Drosophila melanogaster: one gene and its partners. The protein of the gene in region 3 purifies or fractionates together with the protein of the main gene of each other region. This does not show direct contact. Each region holds a gene or a part of one and is shown on either strand. Other genes may lie near its edges.

Evidence for each region.
Region 1: the proteins of Dlc90F (region 3) and RPA2 purify together in Drosophila melanogaster (affinity purification with mass spectrometry, with the first as the bait; one large-scale study listed by BioGRID). This does not show direct contact.
Region 2: the proteins of Dlc90F (region 3) and Tap42 purify together in Drosophila melanogaster (affinity purification with mass spectrometry, with the first as the bait; one large-scale study listed by BioGRID). This does not show direct contact.
Region 4: the proteins of Dlc90F (region 3) and Arpc3A purify together in Drosophila melanogaster (affinity purification with mass spectrometry, with the first as the bait; one large-scale study listed by BioGRID). This does not show direct contact.

The regions. Positions count from the first base shown.
Region 1 is NT_033779.5:20,923,767-20,928,691, reverse strand, and holds RPA2 (replication protein A2), read left to right. Parts: upstream 1-2,544; 5' UTR 2,545-2,645; coding exon 2,646-2,658; intron 2,659-2,716; coding exon 2,717-2,778; intron 2,779-2,841; coding exon 2,842-3,428; intron 3,429-3,517; coding exon 3,518-3,596; 3' UTR 3,597-3,717; downstream 3,718-4,925. Other genes in the region: Nthl1 (Nth-like DNA glycosylase 1), read left to right, coding at 893-1,003, 1,068-1,535, 1,601-1,771, 1,828-2,244.
Region 2 is NT_033779.5:13,364,354-13,369,521, reverse strand, and holds Tap42 (Two A-associated protein of 42kDa), read right to left. Parts: upstream 1,906-5,168; 5' UTR 1,799-1,905; coding exon 1,676-1,798; intron 1,606-1,675; coding exon 586-1,605; 3' UTR 501-585; downstream 1-500. Other genes in the region: CG31855 (uncharacterized protein), read right to left, coding at 1-121; Grx3 (glutaredoxin 3), read right to left, coding at 2,214-2,391, 2,455-2,717, 2,782-2,991; Nnp-1, read left to right, coding at 3,446-5,168.
Region 3 is NT_033777.3:18,296,944-18,301,484, reverse strand, and holds Dlc90F (dynein light chain 90F), read right to left. Parts: upstream 2,257-4,541; 5' UTR 2,064-2,256; coding exon 1,728-2,063; 3' UTR 1,441-1,727; downstream 1-1,440. Other genes in the region: Polr1E (RNA polymerase I subunit E), read left to right, coding at 1-577, 635-1,112. UniProt on the Drosophila melanogaster protein: Acts as one of several non-catalytic accessory components of the cytoplasmic dynein complex that are thought to be involved in linking dynein to cargos and to adapter proteins that regulate dynein function.
Region 4 is NT_033777.3:15,831,962-15,837,212, reverse strand, and holds Arpc3A (Actin-related protein 2/3 complex, subunit 3A), read right to left. Parts: upstream 2,566-5,251; 5' UTR 2,448-2,565; coding exon 2,442-2,447; intron 2,301-2,441; coding exon 2,127-2,300; intron 2,017-2,126; coding exon 1,663-2,016; 3' UTR 1,192-1,662; downstream 1-1,191. Other genes in the region: ND-23 (NADH dehydrogenase (ubiquinone) 23 kDa subunit), read left to right, coding at 184-223, 407-858, 927-1,088; CG43317 (uncharacterized protein), read left to right, coding at 2,848-3,177, 3,279-3,689; CG43318 (uncharacterized protein), read left to right, coding at 3,820-3,822, 3,930-4,445; rec (recombination-defective), read left to right, coding at 4,596-5,251.

The DNA of each region.
Region 1 (4,925 bases), on a different chromosome or scaffold from region 3:
TGAACATACATTTGTTTTAAGCGTTTATTAACTCAGCTTTACTTTAGCTATACTTAAGCTACTTACCCATCAGATTAAAAACAAGAGAGAATGCTATAGTCGAGTTCCCTCGCACAGCTGGAAGTGTGAACGAGAAATTTCAATATTTTTTGGAATATTGGTAGAAATTGGAAACAAAATAATAAAATAAAAATTTAAATGTTGCTGAGAATGTGGGCGTGACAGGTTTACGCGGCTTGTGGGCGTAAAGTATTTTGGCATATAAATTTACAAAACTAACATAAAAATCAAAAAATAGTAAAACATTTTTCAAAAGTTTGGGCATGACAATTTCGGGCTGTTTATGGGCGTTAGATTGGAAATCGGTTCTACAAAATTGCGCTACGTCTATGTCTCTAGAACCACTGTTCTTAATCTCAACCTTCTAGCTTTTATAGTTCCTGGGATCTCGACGTTCATACTAGATCGACTGATCCTGATCAAGAATATATATATATGTAGTTGGTCGGAAACGCTTCCTTCTGCTTATTACTTACTTTTCAACGAATCTAGTATACGAATATCGGGTATAAAATTTATTTTAAATATCTTTGTTAAATTTTATGAGCTGTTGATAACGAAATCGAAAAGTTTGTACTTTTTTTTAAATCAAGTGCATTAAAATTAAATTTGTGGCTTAAAATGTATTGTAATAGCTTATAACTTATTATGCTGTAGCATACGAAAAATGGTTCTTAAAATCCTAACTTGCATGAGTTGAATATTTCGAAATTTCAAATGTTCCCGGCTACTTAGTTGTAAAGTGTGGCCGTTTCTCCTACATCGAAATCGATAGGTTCGAAATGTAAACAAACATGGAAACTGAAACTGAAGCGCAGAAATTGTATTAGCTATGGCCAAAAATGTAAAGAAATTAACGTTGGCCAACAAGTTGGCAAAACGCGGAGATCTTATAAAACCCACGGAAATAAAAAGTCGTCCAAATAGGGCGGATAACGTGAGGGTAGGCGGAAATGCATGATAAACAATGAAATTGATACTCAAGACGCAGTTTCTAAATCTTCCAGGATATAGAGGATCTGGTTGGTGTATCTGCTGGCGCAGCAGGATCGAGTAGCTCAGTGTTCTTCTCCCCCGTGCAAACCCGCAAGCAGCGTCTCTTAAATGGGGAAGCCGTGAAGAAAACTAACATTAAAATGGAGCCCTTGTCTCCAGCTCGAGTGGCACCCAAAAAGTTTAGAAAGGATGATCGCATGGTAACCAGAGTTCAAATGGGTTCGGCTACTGTGGTCATATGCAAGGTGGTCCCTGATGCTGTGGACTCCCCAGTGAGAGTGGATAAGATAAGAGAGGAGGTGGAACCCCAAATAAAACAGGAAGCTCCGGAGGATTCCCCTTCTTTTTCTGAGGTGCAAGCACCACATCCTTTGTGGTTTAACCACCTAGAAAACATTCGCATTATGAGAAACTCCAGAACTGCGCCAGTGGACACCATGGGATGCCACCGATGCGCCGATTTAAAAGCAGACTCGAAGGTATTTCCAATAAGTGGAATTAAGTACATAGAAGAATATGTTACAAGCAAACAACTTCCTTGCAGACCCAGCGCTTCCAAAACTTAGTGGCATTGATGCTGTCCAGTCAAACCAAAGACCAAACTACTTATGAAGCCATGAATCGCCTTAAAGACCGAGGTCTAACTCCACTGAAAGTAAAGGAAATGCCAGTGACTGAACTCGAGAATTTACTGCATCCCGTATCCTTCTACAAGGTTTGGTGGAATTAATAATAAATAAATATATCGCACTTACTCTCGATCTCTTCCAGAACAAAGCTAAATACCTCAAGCAAACCGTGGAGATACTGACGGACAAGTATGGTTCGGACATTCCAGATAATGTCAAGGACCTTGTAGCTCTTCCAGGAGTTGGCCCCAAGATGGCCCATATATGCATGGCAGTGGCCTGGAACAAGATAACCGGAATCGGAGTGGACGTCCACGTCCACCGCCTTTCTAACAGGCTGGGCTGGGTGCCGAAGCCCACCAAGGAGCCCGAGCAAACCCGTGTGGCGTTGGAGAAGTGGCTGCCATTCAGCCTCTGGTCAGAGGTCAATCATTTGTTCGTGGGATTCGGACAAACCATTTGCACCCCAGTGAAGCCAAATTGTGGGGAGTGCCTGAACAAGGACATTTGTCCTTCAGCCCATGCTGAAACTAAAGAAAAAAGGAAGAAAGACCGATAGGAAAGAGGTTCAGCGAACGCTGAAAAAGGTTTTAGGTTTCTAAGTGTTTCTGAAATTATTAGTGCTAAGAAAAATATTGTGTTACCCATAAGAAAATAAATGAATTATTAAGGGGGCTGTAAGTCCTGTAAAAAATAAAAAATTTTGTGGTTTTTCTTTTTTTGTTTTAACTGAAAAAGGTATATTCCCAATTTATTACAATAATTCAGTTTTTCAGGAAAAATATTGAAATATTGACACTACAATATTTCGTATTTCTTATATACTAAATAGATGTTATTCCTACGTGTTCGACCTACGGCCACACTATCAGCTCTACGTTCGCGCGTTTTATTGTTTACCAGCGGCCCTTGTGAAATTATATAGAATACTCAATTACAAATCCCTCAAAAGCCAAGAAAATGAATGATTCATGTAAGTATAGCCCGTAGCTCAGAGAAATTAAGGGAACTAATAACGAAGCTCGTTTTAGTTGGAGATTTCAATGCCACACAAACTGCGCCAACTGGAGCCGCCAGCAATCAAAAGGGAGAAGTAAGTGAGTGAGACGCCAGTAAAGTTGCACAACCTAACATGATTCCGTATGATTGCAACTAGGGAATAGTGCCCCTGGTGGTGAAGCAGATTGTGGACGCCCCAGAGGGAAACATCGAGTTGTTCGGCATGCAGTACGCCATGGCATGTGTTGTGGCCATAGTGCGGAACGTGGAGACTTCCTCGACGAAGATCACCTACACCCTGGAGGATCATAGCGGCAGGATCGATGCGCACTACTGGCTTGAGGAGGGCGACGCTCTCAAGGCACCCGAAGTAATGGTCAACAACTACGTGAAGGTCTACGGCACCACCCGGTCGCAAGGCGGTTCCAAAACCCTAATGATCTTCAAGCTACTGCCCGTTTTGGATCCCAACGAGGTGTGCACCCACCTGCTGGAAGTACTCAATGCCCGCTACAGGGCCGAGGACTACCAGAGCAAGGGTGGAGCTGGAGCTGGTGCAGGGGCTTCTTCCGGCTCAGGCTCCATAGCTGATTTCACCGCCTCCCAGAGCTCGGCCATTGTCAGTGGGCTGGAGCCCAAGCAGCAGGCCGTATTCCAGGCCATCAAGAGCAATGTTTCCGAGGAGGGCATCTCCCGCAAGGAACTGAAAGCCAAATTCTCCCACATCAGCGACTCTGAGTTGACGTAAGTTGTTTATCCAAAACTATTGCATCATTTGATATTCTTTATTAATTAATATTAATTATAACATTTTATTGTTCCTATTTTTACAGCAACATTCTGGACTTTATGATTTCCGAGGGACACATTTATTCCAGCATTGACGCAGATCACTTTATTTGCACAATGTAAATCAAATCGTGTAACCACTATTTAATTTAAAAATGCGTATTGAATATATGTATTAAGTTTTTGAAAAACGGGAACATTTTCCATATATTAGTTGTACATTAAATATTTCTTATATAATCAGAAAGTGATTTTGGGATATTTTTTATTGGGACTGTTGAAAATGTGTATTTGAGGAAATCTTGCTCTTCAAGTTGCCGGTGTATGTGTATATTTACGGCTTATCATATGAAAAGTCTTCGGATTCATAGTCCTAAGGGAATTTAAAATATCTTACAAAAAAGATAGAAAACCTGAAATATTTTAATTATTTTATGTTTAATTAATATTCTTGTTCATTTATAAAATTGTAATGGATTATAAAGTTTTTTTGAATCGTTTCACTTTGCTTCATTTGATAAAAGGATGTGATAAGTTCATACCGCTTTATTTCATTATCAATTTATTTTTTAGATATATAACTAACTAACTTTTAACGCTAGTAAGTTAATTGTTTAATTAGGTAATGCATATTTTGATTGTATATCGGGCATAGTTAGATCGGATTGCAAAAAATTTATAAAATTCATTCAATGCGTTTTATTTCATTAGTTTTTGAATTTATCATAGAAAATTACAAGCTCAGGAATCAAAATCAAAACATAATAGGCATGCAAATCAAAAATTAAGATTAATATTTGTTGTGGGAATTTATAGCGCAAGAGAGCATTCCCCTTGGTCCCCAGGATCTTGCCAGTGAAGTTGAACTGCGCAAGTGTAAGGATTCATTTTGCGGTCGGAGTGGATAGCTAATTGTATAAAAAACCACCTTGGGATACTGATTAACGGGCACGAAGACCTTTTGGGTAATCTTTATCGGCTTCTGCTTGTACACGTCTGCGTATAACTCCTTGCCGGGAATACGTCCAGTGCCATAGACACGGTCCACAGCTGCAATGTGGGATTAATACCATTAAAATACCCTGTAAAGGGCCGAATTGATTTTACCCTCGGCAATTAGCAGTGCGCAAAGTGGAAACTCCGCGGACAATCACTGGCTCTCCTCGACCAAATCGGCGAGAAACTTTTGGGTCACCTCGTTCAGACGCGGCTGGTGGTCGTGGGAAGGTGGCTGTTTCAAAGGTAACGCGCTTGCTGTTCCCATTTTTATCGTAACAATATTTACCGAAAAATCACAATTGAAATTGATGTAGACTGAATAAAGAATTATATATCAGTGACTTAAAAAGGGAGACCTGCCAAAAGTTTGAAGTTTTGAGGCTGCCAACTTTTTCAGTGCTATAGTGATTGAACAACGGTCCAGTCGCCAATCCTTAGTTAAAAATATAAAAA
Region 2 (5,168 bases), on a different chromosome or scaffold from region 3:
CGGTGGGCAGGTAGACGGAGGCACGCTTCTGCGACGTTCGAATTCCATGTTCGTTGCTCAAATGGGTAAAATTGCTCGAATCGTGTATGGGCAGACCCTTGATAAAGTCTCGTACTGACATTCTGCTTTTGGGTTGCTGCAGAGTACGAAAAGTGTTAACACTTGATACTACCACGTATCTGCTGTATTTTAACACACCTCACTTTAATCTTTGTTGATCTATCAATATTTCGAGAGAACTGTCTTCTCTTTTACGTTTTTTGTGTAGCAACTCACAAAAATTTAACTTGTGCTTGAGATTTTTGTTTTTGTTACTGGTGGTGACAATCAGTGCTGCAAAATGCGCGATTACAGCCAAACGCCTACCAATACTGCAACAGTGGAACTATTCTAACTATTTATTTACTGTATATATTGTCAATTCAATAAAAAAGAAAACAATTTTTATTTTATCAATAGCGCATCCCTAGGATTTATAAATAAATTTAGAAACTAGAATTATTTTTTGAATATACTGACTTAAAACCAGTCTTGCGGTTATACCATTTTATTGGGTTTTAAAAAAATACATAAATTTTGAGTTCCTTAACTACGGTTATGACGGTTGCCGTCACCGCGACGCACCACATCCTTGTATTCATCCATGCGCCTCATGCGGTCTATATACTCGGGATCATCCTGCTCCGCCTGTAGCTCCTCAACGGCCTTCTCCTCGTCCTCTTTTTCGTTGGGATCCCGGGCGGCCGCGATGGCCTGTGCCTGATTCATCTTGGCAACCTTCTCCTCATCAGGAAAGATGCCCTCGTCGACGCGCTGCTGGTAGAATTCATCAACAGTCATAATGGGCAAACTGGGGTATCCCAAGCCGAAAACCGCCTTCTGGGTGGCATTACGTGTTATGATGAAGGGCTGCAAGGGCTTTGGCTTAGCGGCCTGCTGATGATGGTGGTGGTGTCCGGGTCCGTGGCTGTGACCATGACCGCGGGAGGTGGACGATGCAGAAGATTGATTTTGATTCGGTGGACGGAACGAATCCACTTCGTTGTCGGATTCGCCACCAGCCAATCGGGCAAGGCGCATCTGGGCCAGCTGCTTCATTACGCCCAATGTTTCTAATTCCTGCTTGGAGTCTATTATACTCTTGTCCAAATACTTGAGGAAAAAGACACGTTTATCCTCATCGTCGACCGTTTTGTTCTTGACTGCATCGCGCATTCTGGCCATATACTCGTCAATCTCCTTCATCCGGCGATACTGGGCTATTTTGTCGTTTCTATTGAAGGCTGCCTCTACCAGCTCGCGCTGCTCGCTTTTTTCCGCTTGGCTATCCGCCTTAGCCACCTGAGATTTGGGCGCTGCACAGAGATCATACTCCTGGCAACGCTGCAGGTGGTCCTTGAAGTAAATCTCGCCCAGCTCTATGGAGTGTGTGTTATTGGGGCTGTTGATCTTAGTGGTAAGCTTGCCCAGAAAGTAAGGGAGCAGCATGAATGGTAGCGATTCCGTGGACACCTCGTCGATCAACTCGTTGGCACTGAACATGCTAACCTGGTTCACAATGACGGTGGCCTGCTCGAAAAGGCCCATTGCAGTCTTCACTTTGTTCTAAACGTTGTGGTAAACGTTCAATGCTGGTTTTTATTACATATATATGAAGATCTTCAATATTACACACCTGAAATTCGCTGCCATTGAAGGGCAGTTCGGTAACTTCTAGCTCGTCGAATATGTTCCAGCCCTTTAGAAAGATGTCCGTCAGCTTTTGGTCCTCTCCGCCAGCGGTATTACCCTCAGCCATTTAAAGATTTGGATATAAGTTTATAGTTAATGGGTATTTTCAATAATATAAATAATATTGCGAAAATAATGTGCAAGATGCCGACGCCGAAACAGCTGTTTACAAAATGAAGGTACGCAAAATACCAGATAAACCAGGGCTGGTGTATAAAAAAGTTCTTACAAATTTCTAGCTATATTTATGTCGTTAAGTTTGTAAACATTTATGGTGACACCATTGAAGCCCGTGTAAGATGTCTTATGGATGACCTATAGCACATTTGCTTTAATACAATTGTTATTAAAAATTTCGATGAATAAAATAATACCAGAATGTAGCAAAAATCCTTTATTAAACCATTAAAAAGTCTAAGGATCTAGCTAAAAATTTGTTTCTGGTTTATGGTGTCTGTAGGAGTAGATGCAATCCGATGGAATTAGCCCTTTAGCGTGGACTCGAGCTCATTGTTCGCCAGCAGTTCCTTAATAATATCGAGTCCGCCGATAAGTTCACCCTTGACGTAAACCTGGGGATATGTGGGCCAGTCGGAGTAGGTTTTCAGGCCTTGACGCACTTCTTCGTCGCCGAGGATGTCAAATGTCTCGTACGGCAAGCTATCGAAGGATATTTTCGTTTATAACTTGAAATCAAATACAACTGATGATCAATTTGCATACTTGGTTTCGTTCACAATGCCGATGAGCTGCTTGGAGAATCCGCAACGCGGTCCATTTCGGTCGCCCTTCATGAATATCATCAGCGGAGCTGTATTGATTAGGGCCTTTAGGCGTTCCTCCAACGTTTGTCCTGTTGCCGCCGCGCTGCTTGCGTTTTCGGCCAACTTTTTGGATTTGGCGCTTATGGCGGCGATGTCTACACCATCGACACGGTCAACGGCGGAGCCCTTGGCGAAGAATATGACTGTGGGCACGGCCTCGATCTGGTGGCATCGCAAATGAATGAGGAACTACTGTTATATTTTCATAAAATAAATACGAGCGTACCTGATGTTTCATGGAAATCTCGGGAAATTGTTCAGCGTTTAGGCTGATGAACTGCAGTTTTTCGCCAGTAATCTTGGCCAGCTCCTCCAGCGCGTCTTTCACCTGACCGCATTGCTCTGCCCATTCGGCGGCGAATAGAGCTACGGTCGTCTTATCCGCATTAATGTACTTCTGGTACTCCTCGGCAGCCGACACGTTCACCACGGGCATGATTTCTTTGAATTATTTAACTAAATTTGCTGGACAAGCAAAATTTACAAAAAGCAGACCGAATTATCAGCTGTGGAAGAGAGTTGCCACTTTCCGTAAAGAAGTCAGCGCTGGTAGCTATAAAATAACAACCTATAAATGGCTAAAAATATATAAAATTGTATTAAAATGTATAAAGCAAGCGTTTCATGAAGTATCAAAACTAGCAATTTAAATATTCTTTTTATTATTCTTTTTTTCTTTATTTTATTCTTTGAAAATTATTTCATTAGCTTGAGTTTTTGTTGTCATTTTCAGTACAGCTCATGCATTTAGAGCTGTTGGACGAAATTTGGAGAAAATGTCGTTTCAACATCTGGCAACATCGAACGGCAACACGTGCGGTCGTGCCGTACCGTATTCAATATACACAGCTCACTTATTTTTCGCAACTAAAAGTTGAATTAGCCGGATAATGGTGACGCGCAAGAAGCCAGTTAAGCGCAACGCCGAGGCGGCCGAAATCCAGGTCGAGCAGGAGGAGGACGCTTCACAGCCGAAGGTGGCCAAGGAGCTGATGGTGGTCGCCCAGGAGGTGAAAATTATACGTGCTCTTGCCTGCAACGATGTGGTGGAGCGTAATCGCCAGATCCGCATTTTGCGCAAGTGGTTCAAGGCGCGTGCCGGTAGCTCCTTTCCCTTCAACGAGGACGACTTCATGCGCATCTGGAAGGGATTGTACTACACCATGTGGATGTCGGATAAGCCGCTGGTGCAGGAGGAGCTGGCCGAGAAGTTGGCTCAAATGGTGGACAGCTTCGGCGGTAATACGGCCTGCAGTCTGGCCTACTTTAGTGCGTTTATGCGCACAATGTGCCAGGAGTACTTTGGCATAGATCAGTGGCGCATGGACAAATTCCTGATGCTCACCCGCCGCATGGTGCGTTATCTACTGAGATTCCTCAAACAGAACAACTGGAATGCGGACCTGATAGCCGCATTCAACAGCAGCATGCAGCTTTCTGTGATGTCGGAGCAGCCTAAGTCTCGCGGCATGACCATGCACTACCTAGATGTTTTCTTTGAGGAGCTGGCCAAGGCGGCCAATGGTGAGATCACTGCTGCTCAGGTTAATATGTTCTTGCGTCCGTTTGTCACCTACATTGCTACACAACGCGATGCTAAGCTAGTGGCACAGTGCCGCACAAGGGTACTCTATCATCTGATGTACCAGAGCGACTTAGGACGACAGTACAGCGAAAAGTACAATGCCTGGAAGCAGATGGGTTTCCCCACCGCCTCCATTGATGACATTGAGAAACTAGATTCTGGATTTGACGAGGAGGATGACGAGGTCAACGCCGAGGAGGAGCAGCCGCGGGCCACATCCTTGGATCCCCGAGCGGGCAACGTGGACGTTCACATGCCGGAGCTGCCGCTCAACGCTGATTGCGTACTAGATGAGCTGCAGACGCAGCTACGCACCAACGATTTTAACAGCAAGAGACGCAAGGGATTGCGCAAACTTATCCAGATCTTTGAGACTTACCAGAGAGGAGAGTTTCCACTTGGCGTGAGGACAATGCCAAAGGTGGAGGGACAAACTCTGTCCGAAATGGTGGAGCAAAAAGTGGCTGCCTTAGATAAGATGGAGGACGAGGTCTTTGCAACCGGAAGAAAACTGAAGAAGCTCAACAAATCCAAACGCAAACGCCTACTGCAGTCCATTAACTTTGAGGAGGTGGACGAGCACAACTACGATGAGGTTATTAGCAAGGCTCTGCCTCCTGAGCTGCAGAAGAAGGTGAATTACAATGCAAAGGTGCGTTCTAGCATAAACAACGCATGGGTAGTAGAGGAGGTCAAGGAGGCCGAGCCCAAGTCGAAGAAAGCAAAAAAGGAAGAACCGCCACAGCAGAACAAAGATGACCAGACGAAGGTGAAGAAGAAAAGCCAGCTTAAGCCGAAGAATGACCAGTCCAAGCCCAAGATAGAGGATCAACCGACCTTGAAGGCAGAAAAAGAAGAGCCTGCGAAGCGCAAGAAATTGGACCACTCCAAGACGAAGGAGGAGCAGTCGAAGCCGAAGACAGACGAGCAGCCCAAGCCCACACCTAAGGTGGAGGGACAGTCCAAGGCCAAGCCGACTCCCAAAACGAAGGCTGCCGGTGTTGATGATGATGCTCCGACCAACGGAT
Region 3 (4,541 bases):
CAGATTTCAGCATGGTAGAGAGCACCGTAGATGGCAAAAAGCATGCCTTAGTATACGCGGGTGACCAGGTGTACACGGGCGAGGTGAAGGATAGCGAGGAAGTCGATACCTACATTTTCATAAGGAACAAATTAACCAACAAAGTTAAAGTCGTGCCAGTGCAAGAGGCATTGATGTACAATCACGTTTACAAGAAACTGGAGCGACAGAAGAGAACGGGTCCCACGATGAGCCGGGAGCACGCCAACAAGAAGCTGCTCAAGGAGTTTGGAGGGCGCAAGGCATCCCGCTTCGTGGACAACCGCGAACAGATGATGGTCAACGTGGAGGTGATGCGTCAGGATCTGGACGAAACGGTGAATTCGAGCATGCTCAACGAAGACGAAGAGGACGGCACCCTGGGTGATGTGAGCATCAACAATGAGGAGTACCTGGCCAGCATTGTGCCCGAGTTCAACAAGGAGGCAACCAAAGTGGACGAAGTCTACGCTGTGGAAAGTTTGATCCCGAGCTCTCTGCTCGAACGTCTCGAGGAGGAGGCCAAAGTGGTGTTCTCCACGCCTGTGCAGACTCTACCGTATGTAGTTTGGTAAAAGCAGTAACATTTAAATGTTAAAATTTCTGTTCCTTGCAGCATTAAATCGGAATACCTCAAGTCATGTTTGGCCAAAATTCAGGAAAATCCCGTTTCATCCAAGCGAGACTTCTTGCACATTAAACTTATCATCTACATGGACGCCTTGCAGTCGCTAATTTCCCTTCGTTCGCGTCAAATGCAAAAGGCTGAGCTCTCTGGTATCACGGAGAAGATCGAGAATGATATACGCCATCGTTTTGCGGATCCCAATGTGGCAAAGAAGGGAACTCGCACCAATTTCAGCAGTGAAAAGGCACTGACACACTTTATTGTGATGGCCCTGCTCCTCAGTGAGAAGTTCGAAGTGGACATCAATGTCCTCTCCCGTGCTTTGGCCACCACCAAGGCTCGGATCAAGCAGTACGCCCACATTGTGAACGCTCTGCCAAAATCCAATTCGGACATCCTTAGCCTGCGCCTGCCCAGCAAGGTTCCGGCTCTAAAGTCGGGCCGTCGCTTCCAGCGCAAGAAGTAGGAGTATCTTCAAGGACACCGCGCCCGCCATCGATTTAACAAACCCTGGCGCGCCAATTACATTTATTGCATCCAGGTACTTCTGATTTTGTTATTTTGGGCAATGCCAGAAGGAATATTATTATTCTAAACGATAGAAGGTTTTGATAAACTAAAATAAATAAAGAAATAAGAGAAAGACCATTAAAGTTTAATTTTAACAAATGCCTGGGAATTTAAATCGATTTTAGACCAATGGCCAATTGCTGCCATGGAAACGAAAAATATTCCCACGACCCAAAAAATGATGACCCATTGAAAACAGTTTGCAATGATTAACTTATTATGCTACGGTATTATACACTTTTTATTTACGTTTTTAGATTGAAAATCAAGAATAACATTAGGCGAGTACACTGGCAACGGAATAGTTGCTTGCTAATTGCTTGGAAGTGACGACAAGGTTTTCAAGTGCTCCATAATAAATTTTGTTATTACAGCAGGATGGATGGCCGATCAAAAAAGTATGGTATTTGTGTTGTTGGTGTGTGCTGGTGTACGACGGCAATCTTGTTAGTCCCTCCCCCTTTTAAGTCATCTTCATCGCGAATTCCGGCAGTCCTGCCATTCCTCCACTCTAGACGGCCAGTCCGAAGACCGAAACGATGCAGTACATGGTCTTGTTCTCCCAGCGTACTGTGCACGATCCGTCGGTGTCGTTGTTCCAGTAGCAGGAGCTGGCGGTGTGGAGTCCAGCACCGTTCTTTTGCATGATCATGGCGGTCACAATGTACTTGTAGGGCTTCTGCTCCTTGGTGAGCACCGTCAGGCAGTTCTCCACCACCTGGCCGGTCCAGTTGTTCACCTTGTCGTGCTGGTAGGCGTTACCGCCGATGGTCGTCTCGATGGCCTCTTTAATCGTCTTGCTCACGTCGTCCACAATGAACTGGCTTTCTTCGCGTGAGTCATCCATCGTCGCAGCTTTGATTTGCTTCTAACGGCAGCTGGTCAAAAAAGTTTACGTACTGAGCTCAAGTTTGTATTGTTGTCGTTGTAAATGTGCGCGCGTTTTTGGGCTCGTCGGCGGCGTTCGAGCAGTCCAAATAATATATATCGGGATTCTATTTTTCTAAGGGATGCGGAAAGCAAAGTTTGCTTTTAATTTGGAAGTATTTTCTTGGGCACCTTGATCTGGTCAGACTGTGTTGCAATTTAACCGGAGAAACGGTTACATCGTGGGTCATTTCAGCATCTTCACACTAGAGATTTCAAGAGAAGAAACAGTTGTCTTTTATTAAAAACAAAGGTTTCGCTATCAACATTTTCCAAAGCAATTAGTCAAGGAGAGTATAATTAGATTAAGTACTTTCAAAAGGAACCAAACAAGTTAAAACCTATTATAACCATGATGCCAGTGGAAACACATCTAAGCATTTAAATTAATCGATAGAAAACAGTGCTGAAAACCGCGGGAAAATTAAACTTTTAATCGCTGGATTATTTCGACTGCAAGCCACGGTCACTCTGGCAGAATCAACATAACGGACGCGTTCGCGGCGCAATAAAAACGAAAAATAATTAAATTATTCCATAACTCTTCTGCGACACCATTGAAAAACATCGACGCATATCAAGGCCGACAAATATCGCTATTAAATGCACAGCTGAAAGCGATTCGTGCAGCACGTCGTTGAATTGAATTAAATTCGTTATGGGAAAGTGCCTTGGTGTGTGTGTGCGTGCGTATAATTAAGCAAAAGTATTTAGCAAATCGAAGGCGCACATTTCGCAATACACGCTGCGAAATAATCGGGTGATAATTGTCGCAGCTGCAGGCGCACTTCCTTCTCCATCTCCTGCTTTCTTCGTTTTTGTCTCTGCGGATACGTGCTACTACTTTTGCAGCTGCTGTTCAGCTATTTAGCGCGTGTGTGTGAGTGCGCTCCGCGGCTGCTGCTGTTGTTGTTTTTGTTGGCTCACCTCTCGTTAACCACCTTGAATGCGAGTGAACGAGCGAGAGGGGGTGAGAAGAGTGCAAAGTTGATGCCCGCGAGTGTGCGCTTGTCTCTCTGTGTGTGTATGACAACAAATTGAGTGCGACTGTGTGCGTGCGGCATTAGTCACTCTCTTTAACTTTTAACTGTTTTGGTCCACCCTCTGCGAACCAAAAAGGCAAAGACAAAAAAAAACCACTAAACCAACTTTGCGGATCGGTTTTTTTTTTTTGAATCGAAACGAATCGGATCGGAACGAATCGGAAATCACCAAAAGGTTAGTTACCCGCAATTGATATTTAACCACAACATCACCCTGACAACTGCTTGCTTTTGCAAACATACATACATATGTAACATCACTCCACCATTCTCATCAAAGTTTTGCTCAAGCTACTTACTTAATTGAAATTCCAGTCAAGGTCGCATTTGTTAATTAATTAAATGTTTGCCCGGCTGACTGCAAGTATAAGGCAAAAGGGGAAACTTGGCGACTGCACAATAGTTATTGTACAATTCAAAAAGTATTGCATAAACCGATATGCTACGTTTGTTCCGACTGTTTACTCAAGCCTCAAGCGATAAGCGGGGAGTACAGTGACATTTATGGATGGGATGGGAAACCCATTTTCTGTTTTGACTGCATAATCGCCAGCACACGAAAAACACTGTCATTGCATTTAACGAATAACTGGAATTATTAGAGAACAGCTGCCTACATAAATACCGCTTCAAATGGTCACCATTGGTCACTAAATACACTTTTTTTACGAGTCATACATTTGCAGTTTTTCTCTCTGTGTAACTCTGCACGAAGCTTCTTCTTTACCCATTAATAAAATAGAAAACCGAAGGAGTTTCGTTTTCGTTTTGTCACTTTCGGACGCAGCAGGTGGTGCATTTGCGCGCTTACCTCACTTTCCAGCTGACTGACTTTCGGGCGATCCTCACATGGTAGCCATAACCATATAACATATGCTATTCCAGCACCCTTTTTCTCTACGCCAGTGCCCAGTGATAAAAACCCTTCGCAGAGCAATCTTCATATGACAAAAACAGGAAATGTATATCACGCAATGTATATATACATATATATATATATATATTACACAATCTTTTAGAGAAGTGCAATCTTATGAAATGCCAAGCAATAAAGCGGTTTAATATGCTTACTTAAATCGTATACACCGTTTCGTTATGATAACGGCAGATGATATCAAAAAGTATCAGAATATTAAATATTATTATACGCCCAAGGGTATCATTTATACGACTGAATCTGATGCTACACGCAAATGGCACAAAAGATCCTCTTTATAGGCTTTTCAAAGTGCATTGTTTTTTAACTACTGAAATGGGCGGCAAGTGTTTTGCTTTTGCACTCAGTACTCGGATACACATTGGAGTGCACAGAAATGTGGGCGTGTTCGAAAGTACTGATGTAAGCTTTCAGCTCT
Region 4 (5,251 bases), 2.5 Mb from region 3:
TATATTTTATATCTCATATTTTATTTTTGGTTTATGTCATTAAGAAACTACGATATATTTGAATACGATATTTGAGCATTGAATTTATGTGGGTAATCGAAAGAAACCCAGCTCTAATTTGTTCGGGCAAATTCAATAGCAAAACAACTTCTTTGGCAATTTTAGTTTAATTTGGTCGCAAAAATGTCGCTAACTATGCGAATTTTCACCGCATCGCGCAACGGTAGGTGGCGACCCATCCCCTCACATCCGTTGTTTTCCGGGAAATTTCCCATTTTCGTGGAAATCGCGGCGAGTGAGGTTATGTAAGCTTATGTCATACCAAAACAAAAGTCTAAACTCGCTTAATTCAGTATAACTTTTCGACTTAAGCATGTTATTTAATGGTAAAATGTTCTCCCCACAGGACAGCGCCTGTTTGGCAGCCATGGAGCCCGGCTGCTGGCCGCCCAGCGAGCAGAACCCAAAGATATCGTCGAGGTTCCCAAGGGCTATGTGTATGTAAACAACAAGGAACTGAGCATGGAGTTTGCCGACATCACGGACCGTGCTGCATCCACCATGTTCTTCGGTGAACTCTTACGTGGATTTGCCGTCACCCTGGCGCACATCTTCAAGGAACCGGCCACTATCAACTATCCCTTTGAAAAGGGACCACTGAGCCCGCGATTCCGCGGAGAACATGCCCTTCGTCGTTATCCCAGTGGAGAGGAGCGCTGCATCGCTTGCAAGCTATGCGAGGCTATTTGCCCCGCACAGGCGATCACCATCGAAGCGGAGGAGCGCGCGGATGGCAGCAGACGTACCACACGCTACGATATCGACATGACCAAGTGCATCTACTGCGGATTCTGTCAGGTGAGGAGGAGCAAAGTGGCGCCACAATTTACTAGAAACTAATTGCATCTTTTTGTCCCCCCGCGTAGGAAGCCTGTCCCGTGGACGCCATCGTCGAGGGACCCAACTTCGAGTTCTCCACGGAGACGCACGAGGAGCTGCTGTACAACAAGGAGAAGCTTCTCTGCAACGGCGACAAGTGGGAGTCCGAGATTGCCTCTAACTTGCAGGCCGACCATCTCTATCGTTAAAGTTGCTTGTACCCCTAGAATTCCTTGTTTAGAACGATTTTCCAATTAAAGATCGTTGCTGTGGCTTCGTCTTAAGCGAAAGTCAGTTGTATTTTTTTTAATTACTCAACTGGCCTAATAAATATAAATTATTTATATTCAAAGAGTTCCACGTTGTATTCGACAGATGACAAAGTTTATTTAATTAACAGGCCAATAGAAAGCATTTTTTCCAATGACGGAGCGACTACAAATAAATGAAACTTAGTTAATACTTTACTATTCCGATTTTGATTACACAAATTATAGGCAATAACTTCCATTTGCTGGTCAGTTATTAGAAACAGATATTATTTATGAAAGTTACTTGCAGTTTTATCCACGTTAATTTTGTAAAAAGAATTTACATAAATTAATTAAAACAGAAAGGCTTACAAATTCAAATAATTTATTTAGTGGTTAATGAATTTAATTAATTGTGACACGTTGGCAGTGATACTGCAAATTAGGACCACGCTGCGAGTAAAACTTAATTGAAGGGTATTTTTACCCGTCGTAGAAGCAAAACAAGATACCAGATATTGTGGATAGCTGTTTATTGTCCAGGTCCAGCCAGACTCTTCTCCATGAACTTTTTCTTCGCGAAGCAGGTCCACCATTTATTGGGCTTGCCATCCTCGGTGTTGAAGACCTTCTCCAGTACCCGGTTGCCGGTTTCGTGGCGCAGCTGCAGCAGGTACTGGCGCATCAGATCCGCATCCTGGGCCGTTTGCGGCTTGGCATAGACGGCGTTCAATGGGAAGCCAGCATCGCCGGGAATGTCGAACTTGGAGATGGCCAGGCTGTACATGTCCTGCTGTCCCTGGGCCTTGCTCGTGGAGCGATTGAGCTTCTTGAGGCACTCTGTTATGTAGAGCGTCACATAGATGAGCACGCGATCCACGTCGGACTGAAAATGGTAAAACATAGTTTGTGAATTCAAGTAGCAAGTAGCATAAGGATTCAATATGACCATCACGTGACCAGGTAATGGTTCTGAATCCCGGATTACGGCCTCACCTTGATTTCGTACGTGCGAAAGAAGACATTGGCTTTGAAGTAGTACAGTGACTCATCAATGATGTCGCTCTCAATATTCGCACTGGGCGCTGGCCCGCGCACCTGCGTCCTCAGCGGCAGGATGGCCATGTTGCCCACCTGCTGGCGCACTTCCTTGATCTGCGAGTGGTAGGCCTGAAAGCATAGTTAATTTACAAGATTGCCTTTTCCCTTGGAAATTTTTATGCTTGGCAGGGGGTCACGAAAGCAGGTGAAAAGAACTGGGAATATCTCAACGCCAACTCGTTTGCCTTTGATGCGCAAGTATCCACTAACCGGCATGTTGAATTGTATTTTAAATTAATTATTTAAATTAACGTTGAAAACGTTATTTTTTCGATGTTAAATATTGTTTTTAATTATAGGCGTCCACTGTTTACAAATTTTGCAGCTCTAATTTATCGACAAGACCGATAAGTCGCGACCGAAATGGTCACACTGAGCTAAATTTTTAAAATTGTGGACAATTCCATTAAATACTACAAGTTTTTTAGTTCGTTATTAATATTTTTTTATAAATTGTTGTACATCAACCAATTTAAATATGTTTGACAGTTCCAGATTTTCTGTCAGAAATCGAATCGAAACATCGAATGCTAAACAAATCAAGTTTGTGTTAAATGTTTAAAATTTTTAATGTTTGCGCCATCCACAAAGGAATTTGATTGTGACTTCGCTCTTTATGGATGAAAGTAAAAAATTCCTCCAGAACGTTGCCCATATCGCTGGCAAATTGGATCTCAACCACTTGGAAAGAACCACGATGGCCTACAAACGTTTATGTCTGGAACTAGAGTCCATGAGCAATGAGGTGACTCCAGCCGTTACTCCTCCGACTTCGGCTTCTGCTTCTCCGCCGACCGCGGTCTCCCCTAATGGACTCCGAGCAAGTGCCTCAGAATTCGTGCCCCAGGTGCCGGTGACCAGTGACCGGATTCCCATTGAAATGGACAATGATGAACAGGATGATGATTCGGATGACGATGGCTACGATGAGGAGCGCAAGAGAGCTGTGAGTATTGGAGATTTGGAGATATGTCTCAGTTTCTAACCATCAACACTATCTATAACACAAAATATTAATTTATCTAAAGATAAATCTACCTAATTTAGCCAAAGCCCGCAATATACGGCATCCGGTTTTATAACCATCATTACGAGTCCGACGACGTGAGCGAAAATCACTTGCAGGCGGAAAAGAAGCGAAAGTTGGGCTATAGGACTCCAAAGTTTCGGCCAAACCAGCCGACTTGCCGGTCCCCAAAGTCGGAAACGGACTTTATTCCCACTGCTAAGCCTCCGCCGGAATTGGCCAATGGACAGCCGCATTTCAATGGACCCTACATGCCGCTTCTGCAGCACCGAATCGCCAACGCAGAGGCCTACGGGCTCATCCAGGGTTCCGACGAGCGGAACAGCCTGCTCCTGGATGACATGGTTAAGCAACTGGCCCGCCTGGACAACTGTCCCGTCAATCTGAGTTCACTTTTCCCGAAAAAAGGTGACCAGAAACCAGAACCCTAGATCGCTCTGAATGTTCTGTAAAAAACTATGAGTTTCTTATTAAAAGGAGGCTTTGACTTAGTATTCGATCTGCTATTCAGTTTTATCATTGGTTGCATACGGTCTCTAAAACTTTTCAGCAGAGAACAAAATGGTAAAAAAAAAAATAAATAAATACAAAGCTGTAGATAACCAAAAAAAAAGGCGATAGCTGTCAATTTCTAAGGCTAGTTAGTTAGTAAGCCCTAATTTCCCTTACAGATTCCAGCTAAAACCGAGACGGAAGCTCCGTGCATTAAAGATCCCAAGGAGATTGAAGCAAAACCTGCTGAAAACATGGAAATTATTCATAAAACGATCGTGGAGGATAAAAAGCACAAAGATCCCAAGGAGATTGAAGCAAAACCTGCTGAAGCCATGGAAAGTGCTGCTAAAATGTTCGTGAAGGATAAAAAGCATATGGAGCAAATGTTGGCTCTTTCCACGATTCCACTGCGCATGGACCAACAAATCCAGTGCATCAAGACAATTCAGCAGGAGCTGCTTAAGCTTCACCTGAAGCAGGTGATGCTCCTCGACGGCTGCACCGAATTACTACATGAACTAAAGGCCGTGCAGCCCACTGATGAGAACGAGGAGATAAAAGTGTTGGAAACATTTCGTGAGGTCAAGTCGAAGCTATCGGGTGTATTTGAACACTACCTTCCCGCCCAGCTGAGCATACTGAAGCAAGAATCGAAGATATCACAAGTGTCCGCCGAAATAATTCCAAAATAATTTTATTACATCGATTTATAAGTTTAAATATAAAATCGTTAAGGGTTCAATATCTTAGCCAAAGATCGTTATCGATATTTCATGTCATTTGTAATATAGGTATCATCTCTATTTAAAAGCGGGCAAATTTGTAAACTTTCCCCAGCTGAAATGAATCCAACGCTTTCCCGGGGGGGCGCCCCATCGCGATTTGTGCGTGGTCGTGGTCGCGGAGGCGGAGCCTACCGTCCGTACTTCTACTTTCGGCGCAATGGACGTGTGATCCCAGCCGGAGGCAATCGACAACCCAACCAAGGGGAACCTGGAGCACCAGACGCTCCTTCTGTTCCGCCTGCAACTCGGCAACCCAGGGGCTGGAGCCGCACAGCCGGCAAGCGAGGACGCAATGCTCACTTGGACTGCAGCTTTCTGCGGCCGGAAAACTATGCCGCACCAGAAGACGGGCTCCAGGTGCAGAGCATTGCGGTGGATAATCCACGGGCTTATTCCGGCTGGCGACTGTACTTCTTGCGCGAGAAATACGAGGAGGGCAACGAACTGGCCACAAGGATAATGGCCGTGGAGGCATACTACCAACGTAATCCTCACACCTTCGATTTTGTGATGATACGGGATCGGGGATTCTTCCCCCTCTGCGCAGCAGGCATCAAATCAGATGCCCAGCTAAAGGAGGTTTGGCCTAGTTTGTCCGAAGACATCCGTGAGCACCCGCTTCGCACGCTAGGAACCCTGTCGTTGGCTATGCACACTGTGGTCGTCAATCACCAGCTGGACTGTAATGATTCCACCACAGCTATGGTGTCCAC